2 linked regions of the Xenopus tropicalis genome follow. Each later gene encodes a partner of the first gene's protein in a complex. Links are inferred from orthologs where the notes say so. Each region holds a gene or a part of one and is shown on either strand. Other genes may lie near its edges.

Region 1 (7,820 bases):
GCTACACACGGCAATACTAGTGCCCTGCTACACACGGCAATACTAGTGCCCTGCTACACACGGCAATACTAGTGCCCTGCTACACACGGCAATACTAGTGCCCTGCTACACACGGCAATACTAGTGCCCTGCTACACACAGTAATACAAGTATGTATGCGGCACTGCAGCAGGAAACACAGAGTTGGGGGAAGGCGTGCCGAGCACATAGGGACACACGGACATTACTGCCATACAGAGACATAGCAGGCTGCGGCACAAGGGCACACGGTTACACTAGGAGAGGTTAGCCTGCGGCAAGTATTAAGGGCCGGGAAGGAACAAATTAGCAGAACCCGAAACAGATGATACGGGTCCGAGAAGACAGAACTAGGGTTGGTGTTGCCATTCAGCGGCAGGGAGACAGGGGAAGGAGAGGGCGCTGTATAGGGGCCGGGGGTAGATACGCACTGCTGTCTGTGTCCGAGGTACCGGCCGGTCTTGTCGCAGCTTTGCTACCCTCGGGGTCGGTGTGTCCTGGATTCTTCATAGTGCTCTCACAGTGTCCCAAACACTTGGAGTTTCCCTCATACCTACCCCTCCGGGCCGGGGCTCCCTGTGTGTCCGGGGTGGAGCCGGAAGCTGCACGGAGCCTCCCAGGGTGGGGCAGTATTAGCATTTGGCCTCTTCTACCTGCAGTGCTCTTGTTATGGTGGGACTAAGCTTAGTGCAGGGAAGGCTGTACAGTATGTGAGAAAGTGAAAATGATAATGCCTTTAAATCAGGATGGGAACAGTGATAAAGCAATTATAAAATGAAACATAAATAGGGGCAGACTTTAGCTGCGGGTTCAGTCTGAGCCTGCAGATTAGCTGCCTGAATATAGGTGGCAATATACAGACTGATTTCAGCTGCCTTTAGACCCTTTGGAAGCTTATCTGCCCATGTATAGGCACCTCCGATGGGCCTCCCCGACCGACATATGGCCTGAAATCAACCATTAAGGTCCCCATACACGGGCCGATAGAAGCTGCCGATATCGGTCCCCTGGACCAATTCGGCAGCTAATCAGCCCGTGTATGGGCAGAAACGAGCGGCCTGGCCGACCAATATCTGGCCTGAAATTGGCCAAATATCGATCGGCCAGGTTAGAAAATCCAGTCGGATCGGGGACCGCATCGGCTCGTTGATGCGGTCCCCGAACCCCAGGGCCAAATGATCGGATTATTTTTTTTTAACGCAAATTGCTACCCGATATCGCCCACCCGTATAGTGTATGGGGACCTTTAGTCAGGTTTGATTTTATCGTTGGGTCAGGGATGGCATAGGCTCCTTCATGCAGTCCTCAAACCAATGGCGCCTATGCCTGCCTTTAAATTAGATTGTTTTGGCTCTAGGGCCAAACAATCTAATTTTCCTAATATCACCCGCCCATAGGTGGGCATATCGGGAGAATATCTGTTCGCTTTTTGATCTGGTCAAATGAGCGATCTTACCATGCATGGCCACCTTATGGGTCTTGTCCTACAGCCTATCCAATAGCAATCTGGTGAAATATCAGGCAGATGTTGGGCAGGTTTAAAAATCTCATCTGGAGGAGGACTACATCAGATATTTGATATGGTCCTCTCCTGATGGCCTACACAGGCGCCTATTACAATGATCATTTGGCCCTCACAGATCTGCCTGATGTCAGCCACAACTAGGTGGCCATATTGGTTATAGATCCGCTGGTGACCTTCTCACCCAGATGCCCAATTTCTGGCTGCTAGAAGAACAGGACTAATGCGGATTATTGTGCCAATACCAGAATAAGCCATCTTGTTTTTCTTCAATGTGTTTCCACTGTGGCCTATGGCACTATCTATATATAGCTGCTATGGGTAATGTTGTTGTCCTTTTGTGGGAAAGCCAATGGGCAACTAAACCGTGTATGCCATTACCCTTACCTCAAGATTATGTGATGGTTTTACTAGCGCAGCCTGCAATTTTAGGCTAATGGCACAAACAGCAGTTTCAGGCTGCAGTGACAGGTTAATTCCAGTCCTGTATGTGCACATACATACATTCATGGTAGAATGGGGGGTGAATCTACATTTTACAGCAGTGAGCAGGGGTACATTTTTGTGCACAGATGCCATTTTGTCCATTTTACTTAATGTTGCATGTGCTTTCTGGCAGTTCAGAAACAATGCATTCAGCAGATATATAAACAAAATAAGCCTGATCATTCTGGGCCCATACATATGCCAGCGGTCTGCCAATTCAGTTAATAAAGTCAGAATCAGCACCTATTAAAAGCGCAGACTAAAAGAAACAGTCTGATCAGGTGCGGACTGGAAATGGGGCCTTGGCATTTAATTATACGCGGATACCCAAATAGCCCCCTATCACCCCAATAAATAGTGTCTGTGACATCTTACAGCAGCCCTTCTGGCATTTATCACAATCCACAGATTGCACGTCTGAGTCTAATTGGAGGTTTCAGCTCAAGATATTTAATAATAATTCATAATATATAATATGAAAAGTTGCAGTGCAACTAGCCGCTCTTAAATGGTGTGAATAGATAAATGGGTTGATGAGCGGAACTAAGTCACTCATATCTGTTTCCCACCGGAAGTTGTTTGCTTGTGCAGTCGCCGGGAAAAGGGGGCAGAGAGATACGACAGCCTGTTTCCTTTCGCTGTGCATTGTGGGGCAGGCGGGACGCCATTAGAACGCAGAACAGAGCCACGCTAGTAAGTATTACCCAAAGCAAACAAAAGTTCGGTAAAAAGTCTGCGCTTTGCAGGATTGTCAGAGAGGCCCGGGGGTTGCAGCGTGCGGATATCTGGGCGGGGTGTGCGTCTCGGTTACTCGGCGCTTGTTCGCTTTCCCTTAGGTCTGTGCGGTTGGCAGCTTTGTATGAGTGTGAGCAGGGCTTCCCTCTAAATATTGCCTTATGGTGAGGTTATATACAGGGTGCCGGGCCCAACGCATCTCACTGTGTTACCAGTCCGTTATCCGTTTCTATAAATATTCCTGCCTTAGGCCGGGGGCACTGAAACGTTTGTGTAGGCCTCAGTGCCAGTATCCCAGGGAACTCATTCATTGAGGGTTACTCCTCTGCTTCTGCGGGTTGTGCTGCTGCGATGTCCTAACGTGCATGTGTTTCTGAAGGGCTGGGCATGTTTGTGTGCATATGTATGGCTGAATTTATAGACTGTAAGTGATTAAAGCTTTAGGCTGGATAAACATTATGTAATAAGGATTTTTATTTGAATATACCTTATAGTTTGCACATGGCTGCATTGTATGCAGTAACCTGCGTTGCGCTTTGTATGTTCTCCACGTTTTTTTGCTAATTTTTATTTCTCCAATTGCAGGTTAATCTCCATTAGCTCTCAATATGTCTATCGGTGTACCAATTAAAGTCCTTCATGAGGCAGAAGGCCACATTGTGACATGTGAAACTAACACCGGAGAGGTATACAGGGGGAAATTGATTGAAGCAGAGGATAACATGAACTGCCAAGTAAGTAAAATAAGCAAGTCATTCGTATTATATCTATAGCAAGTGCACCTAAACTTATAAATATTTACCTTATGCCATGTTTGTAAGTACGTTGGTGATTGCAGTATAAACTCTAGTGATAGACCTTATGGACCAACAATTGTAAAGGCTGTGTTAAACTAAAAATGTGTGTGTGAATTGTTAGGGGCAAAGTATTTTCCAAAAGGCACCTATTTATTCCCTATATAGTGCCTCGGTTACCCTATCCATTGCAAAAGAAGCAGTTATATTGTGGTCAGAAGCGTAAATAGCTTAAAGGAGACATGGAAAAATAGGGGAAAAAAAAACCTAATTTTGTAGACAATTATGAACAATATATGCTGCGGGTTTCATTTGGGCTAAAAAATACTCATCTGTAAATATGGCCTCTTTATTGGAGCTCCCTGTAGATCCTATCAGTTCTCTGTCCCTGTTTAAAATGAAGGGTGGGCGTGTCCTAACGGTCCCTGCCAGAAGCACAGTAGGAGGGGGGAAGGCAATCACAGCCCAGCACTCACACAAGCAGAGACAGGCTTCAGTTCCCTATCAGGTCATCCTAGCTGCTGATTGGTTCCTATCCAGCCAGCAGGAAGTGGAACAGATGGGCGGGACTATTAGGGTTTTGGTGGAATTTCTCAATAAAACAGTCCAAAAAACAATTTTTTTTAAACCACAGTCCTTCTATATCTAGAGGAGTATAATTTACTGGTACATTCTTAATTTTTATACAATGTCTCCTTTAATCCTAATCTATTTCAATTTCCTAGCTGTGTCTCTAGATGTCAGTATATTCACAGTAAAGCTCAGTGATAAGGAGCAGAAGTAAAATATGTAAATGCTGTTGTTGCTATGCACTTTTAAACTGTTAGTTACAGGAGCCTAGTTAGTGGGGTGTGGCTACACCCGTATTGCATTCCTGTTGTGTAATTTAAAAAATATTTAGGGTGACAATTTCCTTTTGCTCTTTTTACTAAGCACTCTTCTGTTGTTCATGTATAAACTTCTCTTTTAACATGGAGAAAAGTCTCCTTTATCTACCCACAGAAGCCAAACGGTAACATATTTTGGTGTTCCTATTCTTTTAAACTATGTAAGTGTTTCAAAGTAATCAAAATACGATGTAGTGTTACCCTGCACTGGTAGAACTGGTGTTTGCTTCAGTAACACACAGCAGCTTGGATGGCTGCCCCCACTGATACTACTATAGTTCATATAAATAAGCTGCTGTGTATCAGTGGGGGCAGCCATCCAAGCTGGGATAAACTGAGTAAGGGCTCTGGCACACGGGGGAGATTAGTCGCCCGCGATTAACTCCCTGTTCGCGGGCGACTAATCTCCCCGAGTTGCCTACCCCTGCCATCCCACCGGCGAACATGTAAGTCGCCGGCGGGATGGCAGACGCGGCGGGGCGATTTCCGGAAATCACCGAAAAAGACTTGCGAGTCTTTTTCGGCGATTTGCGCGAAATCGCGCCGCCACGTCTGCCATCCCGCCGGCGACTTACATGTTCGCCGGTGGGATGGCAGGGGTAGGCAACTCGGGGAGATTAGTCGCCCGCGAACAGGGAGTTAATCGCGGGCGACTAATCTCCCCCGTGTGCCAGAGCCCTAAAGGTGCTGGTTACATAAGCTGTATTGTATTTTACAGAGCTTATCTTTTTGTCACCTGTGCCATTCAGCCCTCTTTGTTTGAATAGCTGCCCCCATGCAGCTTTATTTCTATAGACCAGGGTTTCCCAACCTTTTGTACCTGTGAGCCACATTTAAATGTAAAAAGAGTTTGGGAGCAAATGAAGCATAAAAAATTCTTTTGGGTTGCCAAATAAGGGCTGTTATTGGCTATTTGGTAGCCCTTATGGGGACTGGAAGCCTACAGGATTGTGCTGGCAATACAGCTGGTTTTTATGCAACAGAAACTTGCCTCCTTACCAGAAATTACAAAAAATAAGCACCTGCTTAAAGTCCACTGGGAGCCACTGGTTGGGCATTACTGGTATAGACTATAGCAGTGTTTCTAAAGCATTTTAACGCAGCTGTATATTACCTTGTACAATAAATAGGTTGTTTTTGGCTATTTTAATTAAAAGGGTCCTCCAGCCAAAAACTGTTTTTGTAATGAAAAAATTTAATTCTACGCAACTTGGATATACATTAAAGGAAATTTAAAACTGCAAAGACTGGTCTTCTAAACATTCTTCTACTGTGTATGAATGTTCTTGGTGCTGTCTCCCAGGAAAAGAACATGGTTTTGGCTATTCTTTGAGCTAAACAAGGGGGAGACATGAGTGTGAAGTCAAACACGATCCCGTTAAAGCTTTATAAATATAAAACATTGTAATAGAATTCCTCACATAGTGCTGTATGTTAAGCCTGTGTCCTTTTTTCTTCCCTCCATGGATGCTTAAATTGTACTTTGACTTTCAGATGTCAAACATCACTGTAACGTACAGGGATGGCAGAGTGGCACAACTAGAACAGGTCTACATCAGAGGCAGCAAAATTCGTTTTCTCATCCTCCCAGACATGTTGAAAAATGCTCCCATGTTAAAGAGTATGAAGAATAAAAACCAGGGTTCTGGTGCCGGCAGAGGAAAAGCAGCTATTCTCAAGGCCCAAGGTAAGTTTTATTTGTGTAGGGGCAGGGTTAACAGGGTGATGTCTGTAAAATTCCATGATCATCATTAAAAGCCCTCCGTTCCCTTGGTTTAAGTTACTAATTGTTAAATTAGTTTATTTTGTTATTGGAAGGAATTGTTTGTCCAAGGAGAATAGGAAGGGAAAAACAAAAGGCATAGAGAAATATGAGAGAATATATTTACTCTATACCAAAAAGTCACACTGTCCTGCTCCCATCACTGTGAGAAGTGAATCAACAGGCAGTTTACTCGCCCTTCAATCACCACACTGTATAAGTTTTGAACTTGTTTAATGATGATGATCAAAAGAAGGTAGAACTGTAGGTACAAACAGTACAATGGTATCAGAATACATTCTGGGTATGTAAAATACAGATATATACAACAGGAGCAAATATAAACATCTTATATGCATTATACAGTCCTAGTGGGGCCTAACAGTTGGCTGCTAAGGGAGAAATAGTGAATCACAACTATAACCAGAATGCACATAACAGCAAAATACACAGCTTATAATAAGCAGGCATTAAACAGAATGCAAACATACCAACGATGCTTGGATAGGCTTGCTTAGAGATGAGTGTGGGTACTGATTTCACCAGCCCTGGCAAAATGACTGTTACAACAGAAACAGCTGCTTCCTCTTGGGACCAGGAAGTGATGTAATCAGGTGGCAGAGCCAATATCAAAGTAAATAATAAACAACAGCAAGGACACAGTACTAGAAGTGGCCAGAGGAGAGAGGGAGGGGGAAGTGCAAGGATACATAAAGCCCAAAATGTATAAGAAATTGTTACATATGAAGAGATTGGCAACACTTGAGAATTGCTGTATCTAAAATGTGGACAGAACTACTGCTGTGGCAGCACACACACAGCAGGGTGAACCCCCATAAAAAGAGCGCGTCTCAGCGTTTTATAATCCCAAGTACATCAATATTGGATACAAAATTTAAAAAGACAATTTTCCATTAAAACCTGCAAAATATGGGGAACTGCAGGCATATAATAGTAGTCTTAGTAATCAGTCAAATGTATAGAGGTAGCAGGCAGACAAAGTACCTGGGTACATATTCATATCCCAGTTATACCAGTGTATAATGAGTTAATAAACCGGTTTTGTTAAAATGATCTGACATTGAACAGGTATTAAAGATGACAAATAGCAATATGATTGCACCTCAGATGCCTTTCGCAAAGTTTATATTAACATCAGTCCTGTTACCCACAGCCTTTACAGTCTCACCACTGGGGACTGATATAGTTTGGCTTTAAAGGAACAGTTCAGTGTAAAAATGAAACTGGGTGAAATAGACTGTAAAAATGAAAAAATATTTGTAATATAGCTAGACAAAAATGTAATCTATAAAGACTGGAGTGAGCAGATGTCTTAACATAATAGCCAGAACTCTACTTCCTGCTTTCAGCTCTCTAACCTCTTAGTTAGTCAGTGACTTTAGGGGGGGCATATGGGACATAAATGTTCAGTTTGTTTGTGAGCAGACGGGTCAGATTCAAATGCAAACTAACTGAACAGTTATGCCCCACATGGCCCTCCCTCAAGGCACTGATTGGTTACTGACTGCAAACAGCTGTAAAGGAGAAAGTAGTGTTCTGGCTTTTATGTTAAACATCTGCTCACTCCAGCCTTTATAGATTACATTTTTGCCTAG
Region 2 (7,946 bases), on another chromosome or scaffold:
AAGGAGAAGGAAAGTCATTTTGGCATGTTACTGCCAATAGATTTTCCCAATTAGTGCCACCTATAATGCTATATTTATTCTACAGAAAACCTAGAAGCTGTCTCTGTTTGTTTAAGATTGCAGCTGCCATTTTAGCTTGGTCTTTATAGCTTCCTGCTTGCAATTTAGCCTATAGCTTAGATCAGGGTTCCCCAACCGCCGGGCCGCGGACGGCATGGCAGTGGGCCGCAGCGCACCCCCCCAGCACATCGCATGTATTACGCGCCTGAAGTTCGCGCCATGGCCCGCCCCCTCTGCAAAAATATTTTTGCCTCCTACCGGGCCATGGTACTAAAAAGTTTGGGGACCCCTGGCTTAGATTACACATTCCTAAGGGAGGGAGGAGGAACTTTTTGGCATTCTTATGGGAGGGGGGAGCAGAAGAGGGGACAGATGAGAGAACTGCACAGACTCTGGCCCCAGGAATGAAGGATTGTTCTGAGAGAGAAAGTCAGATACCCTAAGAACACATTTACAAAAAAGAGACAAAACCCTGTGTTCTTTTGATAGACCAGACTAAAATGGCAGCTTCTATCATAAACAATGGGAGGGAGCTTCCAGGGCTGTTTACTCAGGTATGGTAAAGTTTTCTGCAGAATAAATATAGTGTTCTAGCTTGCACTAATGTGGCTAATCTATTGGCAGTAAAATGCCAAAATGACTTTCCTTCTCCTTTAAGGAACAACCACTGTTCCAGCCTATTTAAAAACCTGCACACTTTAGAGCATTTTCCACACCCACTACAGTCACCAAACCAAAAGTAGTGTTTAGTTAAAACAAGACTTAGACAATTATTCAGGAATATACAAGACAAGGTGGTAAGTCTCTAACTAATATAACCTGTTTTCTTGTAAATTTTTTTTTTACATAATAGATCTGTTGTGTGTCCCTTAAGTAATTCAAGATATTCAGAACCAAATGTTGTATATACAAATTTAAAAAGGACTGTATACACCCTTTATCATCATTAGTTCAAACACACCTCAGAGAACTCTAAAGGTGGCCATACATGTAAAGATCTGCTCGCCTGGTGAGGTCGCCAAGTGAGCGGATCTTCTCCTGATATCCCACCTACGGGTGGGCGATATCAGGGGAATTATAACGACTGGAATAGGTGCAGTCGGTTCGGGGACAATTTCTAGGACAGATATCGGTCGTGCAGGCCAGTCGTTGTTAACCCTACACGGGCTGATAAGTTGCCGTATCGGTCCAAGGGACTGATATCTGTAGCTACAATCGGCCCGTGTATGGCCACCTTAAGAGCTAAATCCTACCAGTGCTTTTTATCAGATTTTGTGGGTCATATTTTATCTGATCTTGTCATGCAACGCCACACAATGCAATGCAACAGCACAAGATTTTTTAGGACCCTACAAAATCTAATCTGCATAGGCTGTAATTTTAATGTCAGATCAGATAAAGTTGGATTTTTATTTTGTTCATGCACTTACATCTGACAGTCAATGTATTACATTGAGAGAAAAAGAAGTCTTTCCAACACCATCAGTTTTTATCCTTGTGGCTGCAGGAGCAGCATGCAGCATTCCCTTCCGACAGACGTGGTGTTGGATGGCAAAAGTTACTACCTCACGTTTTTGTATCAGTCATTATATTTTGACCCACGTGATTACCAATCCACAGGTAAGCCCTTGACATAATTATTTGCTCTTTATCTCAAAGCTTAAAAAAGGCAGCAGTTGAGAAAAACTAAATGAAGGCTTAGGTAAACAGAAGGTTTCTAAGTGATCTTAGCAGGAAGTTGGGAACTGGTTCTGGAAATTTCAGAATGTTAGGTTTCAAAACATTGAGTTTTAGTAAGCAAATGACACACTGTCACTCTACATGCAGAAATCTTGAAATTAGGTAGAAGTTTTAATGACAGTTACAAAAACTAAACTTTTTTGTAGCAGCAGAGACTTTGAATGAATCATGCTGAATTTTTAAAGTTTAAATACAAGTAGTTAAAAAAAAGGTGACTAATATCAATCATCTATGGCCCTCAACACTATGCTCATGTAATGTGCAGGAACCAAGCAAACTGTGCAGTTGTTCAACACCTTGGAGGGCAGGCAAGCAGCATAATGCCTCTAAAGTACAGTATCAAGGGGTGGCTTACAAATTCTTGTCCTCTAAGATAAAACAATATTTATGAGTTTTGTAATTGAACACTACCCTACAAAAAATTAAAACAGAAATATATAATTTTCTGGATAAAGTATATCCCCTATAAATGCTAATGTTTAGGTACAGAAGTGACTGCAATCCTTTCCCCTTTTAGTTAAACAAAACACAGGCCAGAGGTACTTTCATGCCTCCTAAGAGCTGATTCAAGCTGAGCACCTGCTACATACAAAAACATCTGAAAAAGTTCTATACTTCGAATGTACTCGTCTAAGTTGGCACCTGGGCCCCCGTAATTTGTTCTGTATTGATCGGGGCTCCTATTAATTTACCTAAACGTGAGTGGTTGAAGTGGATGGTTAATATGCTGTACAGAGTCCAGAGCTGCTGGTTATTCTACATCTGACAAAATACCCGGCCAATTAGCAATCGCAATGAAGCCAAGCCGATTTTTTGAACATTCATTATTCTGGCGCAACAACAACTTTTGCAATCATTGCTTTGAAACATTCTTCTAGCCACGCCCACGTCCCCTGTTCGCTCTCTTCCGCCATATAAGGCCTTTTTCTGCTCGTCTGTTGATTAATCTTCCCTAACCAGGAAGTTTTTAGCGCTTGCGCTCGACTGCATAATGAGATCGGCAATCGATTGCTCTAGGTAGGTGACAGCGGGAGATTACGAAAACAGGAGGAAATCCGAAGTAAGGAATATCAAAGATGGCGGCTACCGTGACTCCCAATCCGTCGCAGCTTCTCCCGCTCGGTAAGGACTCTAGGAAATATGTGACTAGATCTATTCCAGTTCGAGACCTTTAGTGTGCAGTTACTAATTGGCTTTTATCTTCAATGGCGCTGTCCTATTTCATGCGACATGCTTTCTTTGAACTCATATTTGTTGTAGAATTCTGATATGTATGTGGCTTACTAGGGTTGTGAAGTACAGATGTAGTGTACCTGGAGTTAGCACTGTTGCTTGGGTTAAACAGCACCTGCTAGGTGACGTGCTTTAGGTTATCGGGCAAATGATGGAGCCGCATGGCAGCCCTGCGTTAGACAATTTATATTTTATACTGAACCTTTTAATTGTAAGCAGATAAAAAAAGAACAGAATTATTTTCTAGTTGATTTTTAGTTTACCTAGGAAAACTGTACATCATTCTTTTCTTGAGAACCTGAGCTCTAAATCTGAGTTTTTGTGTATTTCCACTTCTGGAACAAGATTTAGAGCTCTAAAGGCAAATAAAAGAAAAAAAAAAAAATATGATTATAGGGATTTATACCAGAAAAATCTTTTATTTTATGGATAAAATTTCAACTTATTCAGAAAGCCTAATATCTCTTGAATGTGCCTATACTAGGTATGTATAATTTTATGGAGATGTCTGACTTCTATAGATCGAAAACTCCCAGCAGTAAGTTATTGAAAAAAGTGTTACAGCAGAATAGGGCATACTTTAGATTCCATAGCCAAAAATCCTGAAACATTAGGTTTACCCCAGGATACCATTTATATTTTTTAAAAGTGCACATTCAACCAAATCCGAAATAGATAACCGTGTCTTTCTACTCTAAATGACTCCAAGGGGCTGATTTACTAATCCACGAACGGTCCGAAAGTGTCCGAATGCGTTTTTTTCGTAATGGTCTGTATTTTGCGATTTTTTTCGTAAATTGTCGCGACTTTTTCGTAGCCGTTACGACTGTTTCGCAAATTGTTGTGACTTTTTCGTTGCGTTACGACTTGCGCGAATTGTCACAACTTTTTCGTAGCCTTCGCGCCGAGTACGAAAGTTTCGGATTCATTCAAGCTTCAGTATCGTGACTTTTCTTGGGCCAGGTTGGAGCTGCAGAGTCCTATGGGAGGCTTCCAAAATCATGCTAAGTCTGAAAGTTTTGCCCGCAGTTTACGAGCGCTCAATACGAAAAAGTCGCGACAAGATACGAGCAAATCGTAACGGCTACGAAAAAGTCATGACAATTTGCGCAAGTCGTAACGGCTACGAAAAAGTTGCGACAATTTACGAAAAAGTCGTAACGGCGACGAAAAAATCGCAAAAAATACGAAAAAGTTGCAAAATGTTCGTTTTCCAATCGGAATTTTTCCCATTTGGATTCGTGGGTTAGTAAATCAGCCCCCAAGTGTCCGAGATGAAATAGAAATGTTCATCTCTGATACTGGCTGCTGCAATAGAAGCACCCGGTATGTGTATTATGTACCATAAGACGTCCTAACAATACGGAGCCCCTCGAAAACCGTATATTTTCCGAAAGTACATATTTTTATTAAGGCAAAAATGGCTAAATACATCTTTCTACTGCAAACTACCAAACAAAACTATGCTTTTTTTCTTTTTTTTTTTTTTTATTCCTGAAGGTTTAAATCAGTGGTTTTCAGACTTAGGTTTAGTCGCCCTCTTTCCTTTCAGTTATGCAGCTTAAGATCCAAGTACATTCAAATACATTTTTATACTAAAATGTGCTTTTAGTCTGAAGTTCAAAAAATATTTGACAGGCGATAAGTATTTACCACCACAATTTAGAAACCTTTGATTGTTCAAGTTTTACTTTCAAACCTAATTAATATATACACAATGTAAAATTATTTTTTGTATTTTAACATGTATTTTTACTTTATTTTTGCCTTATTTTAAAGTGTATTCTTAATTTTTTTTTTATTTCTGATCTTGCAGAGCTTGTGGACAAGTGCATAGGATCTCGCATTCATATTGTTATGAAGAGTGATAAAGAAATTGTTGGAACACTTCTTGGCTTTGATGATTTTGTCAGTATCCTTTGTCTGCTTACGCTTAGTTTTTTGTTTATTGCTTCAGTTATACTAATTTAGAATGTACCAAAATAAAATACCGATTTACCATCAGCAATAGACTCCATTCAGCATTCTAGATCAGCGTTTTTCAACCACTGTTTGTGCCGCGAGATGTTGCCTGGTGTGCCGTAGGCAGGGCCGCAATTTTTACTTTAAAAAAAAAATCCGGGCCCTGTCATTGGTTGCGCCCCGTGTGTACGGGTGACGTCAGTACGCACGGGGCGCAACGTTATAAAAGGGCCTGTGTGCGGTCGCGTGTAGGCAGAAGTGCAGAGGCGGCGCGCGTGAGGGGAAGATGCTGCTGAAGCCGCCGAAGAGTAAAATGCTGCTGGGCACCAATGTATTAGGGGGGGCCACGGGGCACACTGACTTATGGGGGCACTGCTGCTGGGCACCAATGTACTAGGGGGGCACTGCTGCTGGGCACCAATGTACTAGGGGGGCACTGCTGCTGGGCACCAATGTACTAGGGGGGCACTGCTGCTGGGCACCAATGTACTAGGGGGGCACTGCTGCTGGGCACCAATGTACTAGGGGGGCACTGCTGCTGGGCACCAATGTACTAGGGGGGCACTGCTGCTGGGCACCAATGTACTAGGGGGGCACTGCTGCTGGGCACCAATGTACTAGGGGGGCACTGCTGCTGGGCACCAATGTACTAGGGGGGCACTGCTCTTGGCACCAATGTACTAGGGGGGCACTGCTGCTGGGCACCAATGTACTAGGGGGGCACTGCTCTTGGCACCAATGTACTAGGGGGGCACTGCTGCTGGGCACCAGTGTACTAGGGGGGCACTGCTCTTGGCACCAGTGTACTAGGGGGGCACTGCTGCTGGGCACCAATGTACTAGGGGGGCACTGCTCTTGGCACCAATGTACTAGGGGGGCACTGCTCTTGGCACCAATGTTCTAGGGGGGCACTGCTCTTGGCACCAATGTACTAGGGGGGCACTGCTGCTGGGCACCAGTGTACTAGGGGGGCACTGCTCTTGGCACCAATGTACTAGGGGGGCACTGCTCTTGGCACCAATGTACTAGGGGGGCACTGCTGCTGGGCACCAGTGTACTAGGGGGGCACTGCTCTTGGCACCAATGTACTAGGGGGGCACTGCTCTTGGCACCAATGTACTAGGGGGGCACTGCTCTTGGCACCAATGTACTAGGGGGGCACTGCTGCTGGGCACCAGTGTACTAGGGGGGCACTGCTCTTGGCACCAGTGTACTAGGGGGGCACTGCTGCTGGGCACCAATGTACTAGGGGGGCACTGCTCTTGGCACCAATGTACTAGGGGGGCACTGCTCTTGGCACCAATGTACTAGGGGGGCACTGCTGCTGGGCACCAGTGTACTAGGGGGGCACTGCTCTTGGCACCAATGTACTAGGGGGGCACTGCTCTTGGCACCAATGTACTAGGGGGGCACTGCTCTTGGCACCAATGTACTAGGGGGGCACTGCTGCTGGGCACAGAGTTAAATTTTTTAACATTTTCTAATGGTGGTGTGCCTCGTGATTTTTTTCATGAAACAAGTGTGCCTTTGCCCAAAAAAGGTTGAAAAACACTGTTCTAGATGTTATAGTACAACATTCTTTAGTTTTCTACTATCGGCTCAACTGGGAGTTGAAGTTTTGCATTGTCAAAAGCACATACTTATGTATCAGCAGAATGGGATTAAACACTGGCTGGGACTGTGTCTTGCTCTCAGTTCCTCTGTGATTTGTGCTTTTTGCCATCTGTGCATGGGCAAATTGACCTGAGGGCCAAAGCTGGAAAGTGTACAATCAACAGCTAAGTTAGCCAGAGTACTTTATAGGCTTACTGGGGATCTTTGTCATAGATTTTAATGGCATAAAATAGCATTCTTCCGCATCTGTGCTTCTTCATAGTTTTTCCTCAAACCACATAGAACCTCATACTTTTAACCTTGATTCATTTCTTCAGACATGGTGCTAGAAGATGTTACAGAATTGTAAGTACCGTTCCGTCTGGATACAGATTTTTTTTATTCTATTTGCACTTGCTCAAGAACTTCTTTACCAAGATACAGTAATTTTTATACCAAGCAGTGCATTGTTTCATTCTTGAGATCTGTCGAATAAAAATAATATTCATTTTATTTGCATTTTACATACAGGTATGGGGCCTTTTATCCAGAATGCTCGGGACCTGGGGTTTTCTGGATAAGGGGTCTTTCGTAATTTAGATCCCCTTAACTTAAGTCTACTAAAAATCATTGAAATATTTAATAAACCCAATAGGATTGTTTTGCCTCCAATAAGGATTAATTATATCTTAGTTGGGATCAAGTACAAGGTACTGTTTTATAATAACAGAGAAGAAAGTAATCATTTTTAAAAATTAGAACGGGTTTCCTCTAAATATGGAAGTACATTTTCTAAAATATGAATCTGCATATAATAACTTGACACTAACTTTGACTAAATAAGACAAACAGTAAAGAATGATCAAATTGTGACCCCACTACTGATTTCTATCATATTGTCACTAATCTGTAAACCTGTATCACTGTATATAGTCTAGCAATTTGAGAATTGTATAAAGTAGAAGCAATGTACCCTGTGATATTAACAAGAGAAAATTCTTGAAAGATATGTAACAGAATATTTTTTTCTGTTTAAAATCAATAAAAATCATTTATATATAAAAAAAAAAAAAAATTAGAAAGGGTTTCCAGATAAGGGATCCCATACCTGTATTGTGTTTGGTGATAACAAAAGTGCTTTACTTGGTAATTAAAAACTGGTTGATATTTTTACTTTTTTAAGAAGTTACCATGTAGAACGTTTTATATAGATGTTTTTTAACGTAAATTTTTTTGCTTTTCATTTAAATTCCTGCATTGTGCTGGTTTACATGTCCATGTCTGTCGTTTTTATGTAACTGAAGTAAGTCTGGAGGCATATGTTCTCAAAGACATACTACAATTCCAGATATCGAAAG

What was found.
Region 2: snrpd3 (region 1) and lsm5 share a complex: the UniProt entries of both Homo sapiens proteins name them as parts of the U4/U6-U5 tri-snRNP complex. The link is inferred for Xenopus tropicalis from reciprocal best matches to the Homo sapiens genes SNRPD3 and LSM5.

Annotation. Positions count from the first base shown.
Region 1 is NC_030677.2:152,603,308-152,611,127, forward strand, and holds the start of snrpd3 (small nuclear ribonucleoprotein Sm D3), read left to right. Parts: upstream 1-3,346; 5' UTR 3,347-3,369; coding exon 3,370-3,495; intron 3,496-5,936; coding exon 5,937-6,129; intron 6,130-7,820. Other genes in the region: protein GUCD1, read right to left, coding at 450-528. UniProt on the Homo sapiens protein: Plays a role in pre-mRNA splicing as a core component of the spliceosomal U1, U2, U4 and U5 small nuclear ribonucleoproteins (snRNPs), the building blocks of the spliceosome.
Region 2 is NC_030682.2:61,891,138-61,899,083, reverse strand, and holds the start of lsm5 (U6 snRNA-associated Sm-like protein LSm5), read left to right. Parts: upstream 1-2,759; 5' UTR 2,760-2,876; coding exon 2,877-2,922; intron 2,923-4,849; coding exon 4,850-4,945; intron 4,946-6,926; coding exon 6,927-6,954; intron 6,955-7,946. UniProt on the Homo sapiens protein: Plays a role in pre-mRNA splicing as component of the U4/U6-U5 tri-snRNP complex that is involved in spliceosome assembly, and as component of the precatalytic spliceosome (spliceosome B complex).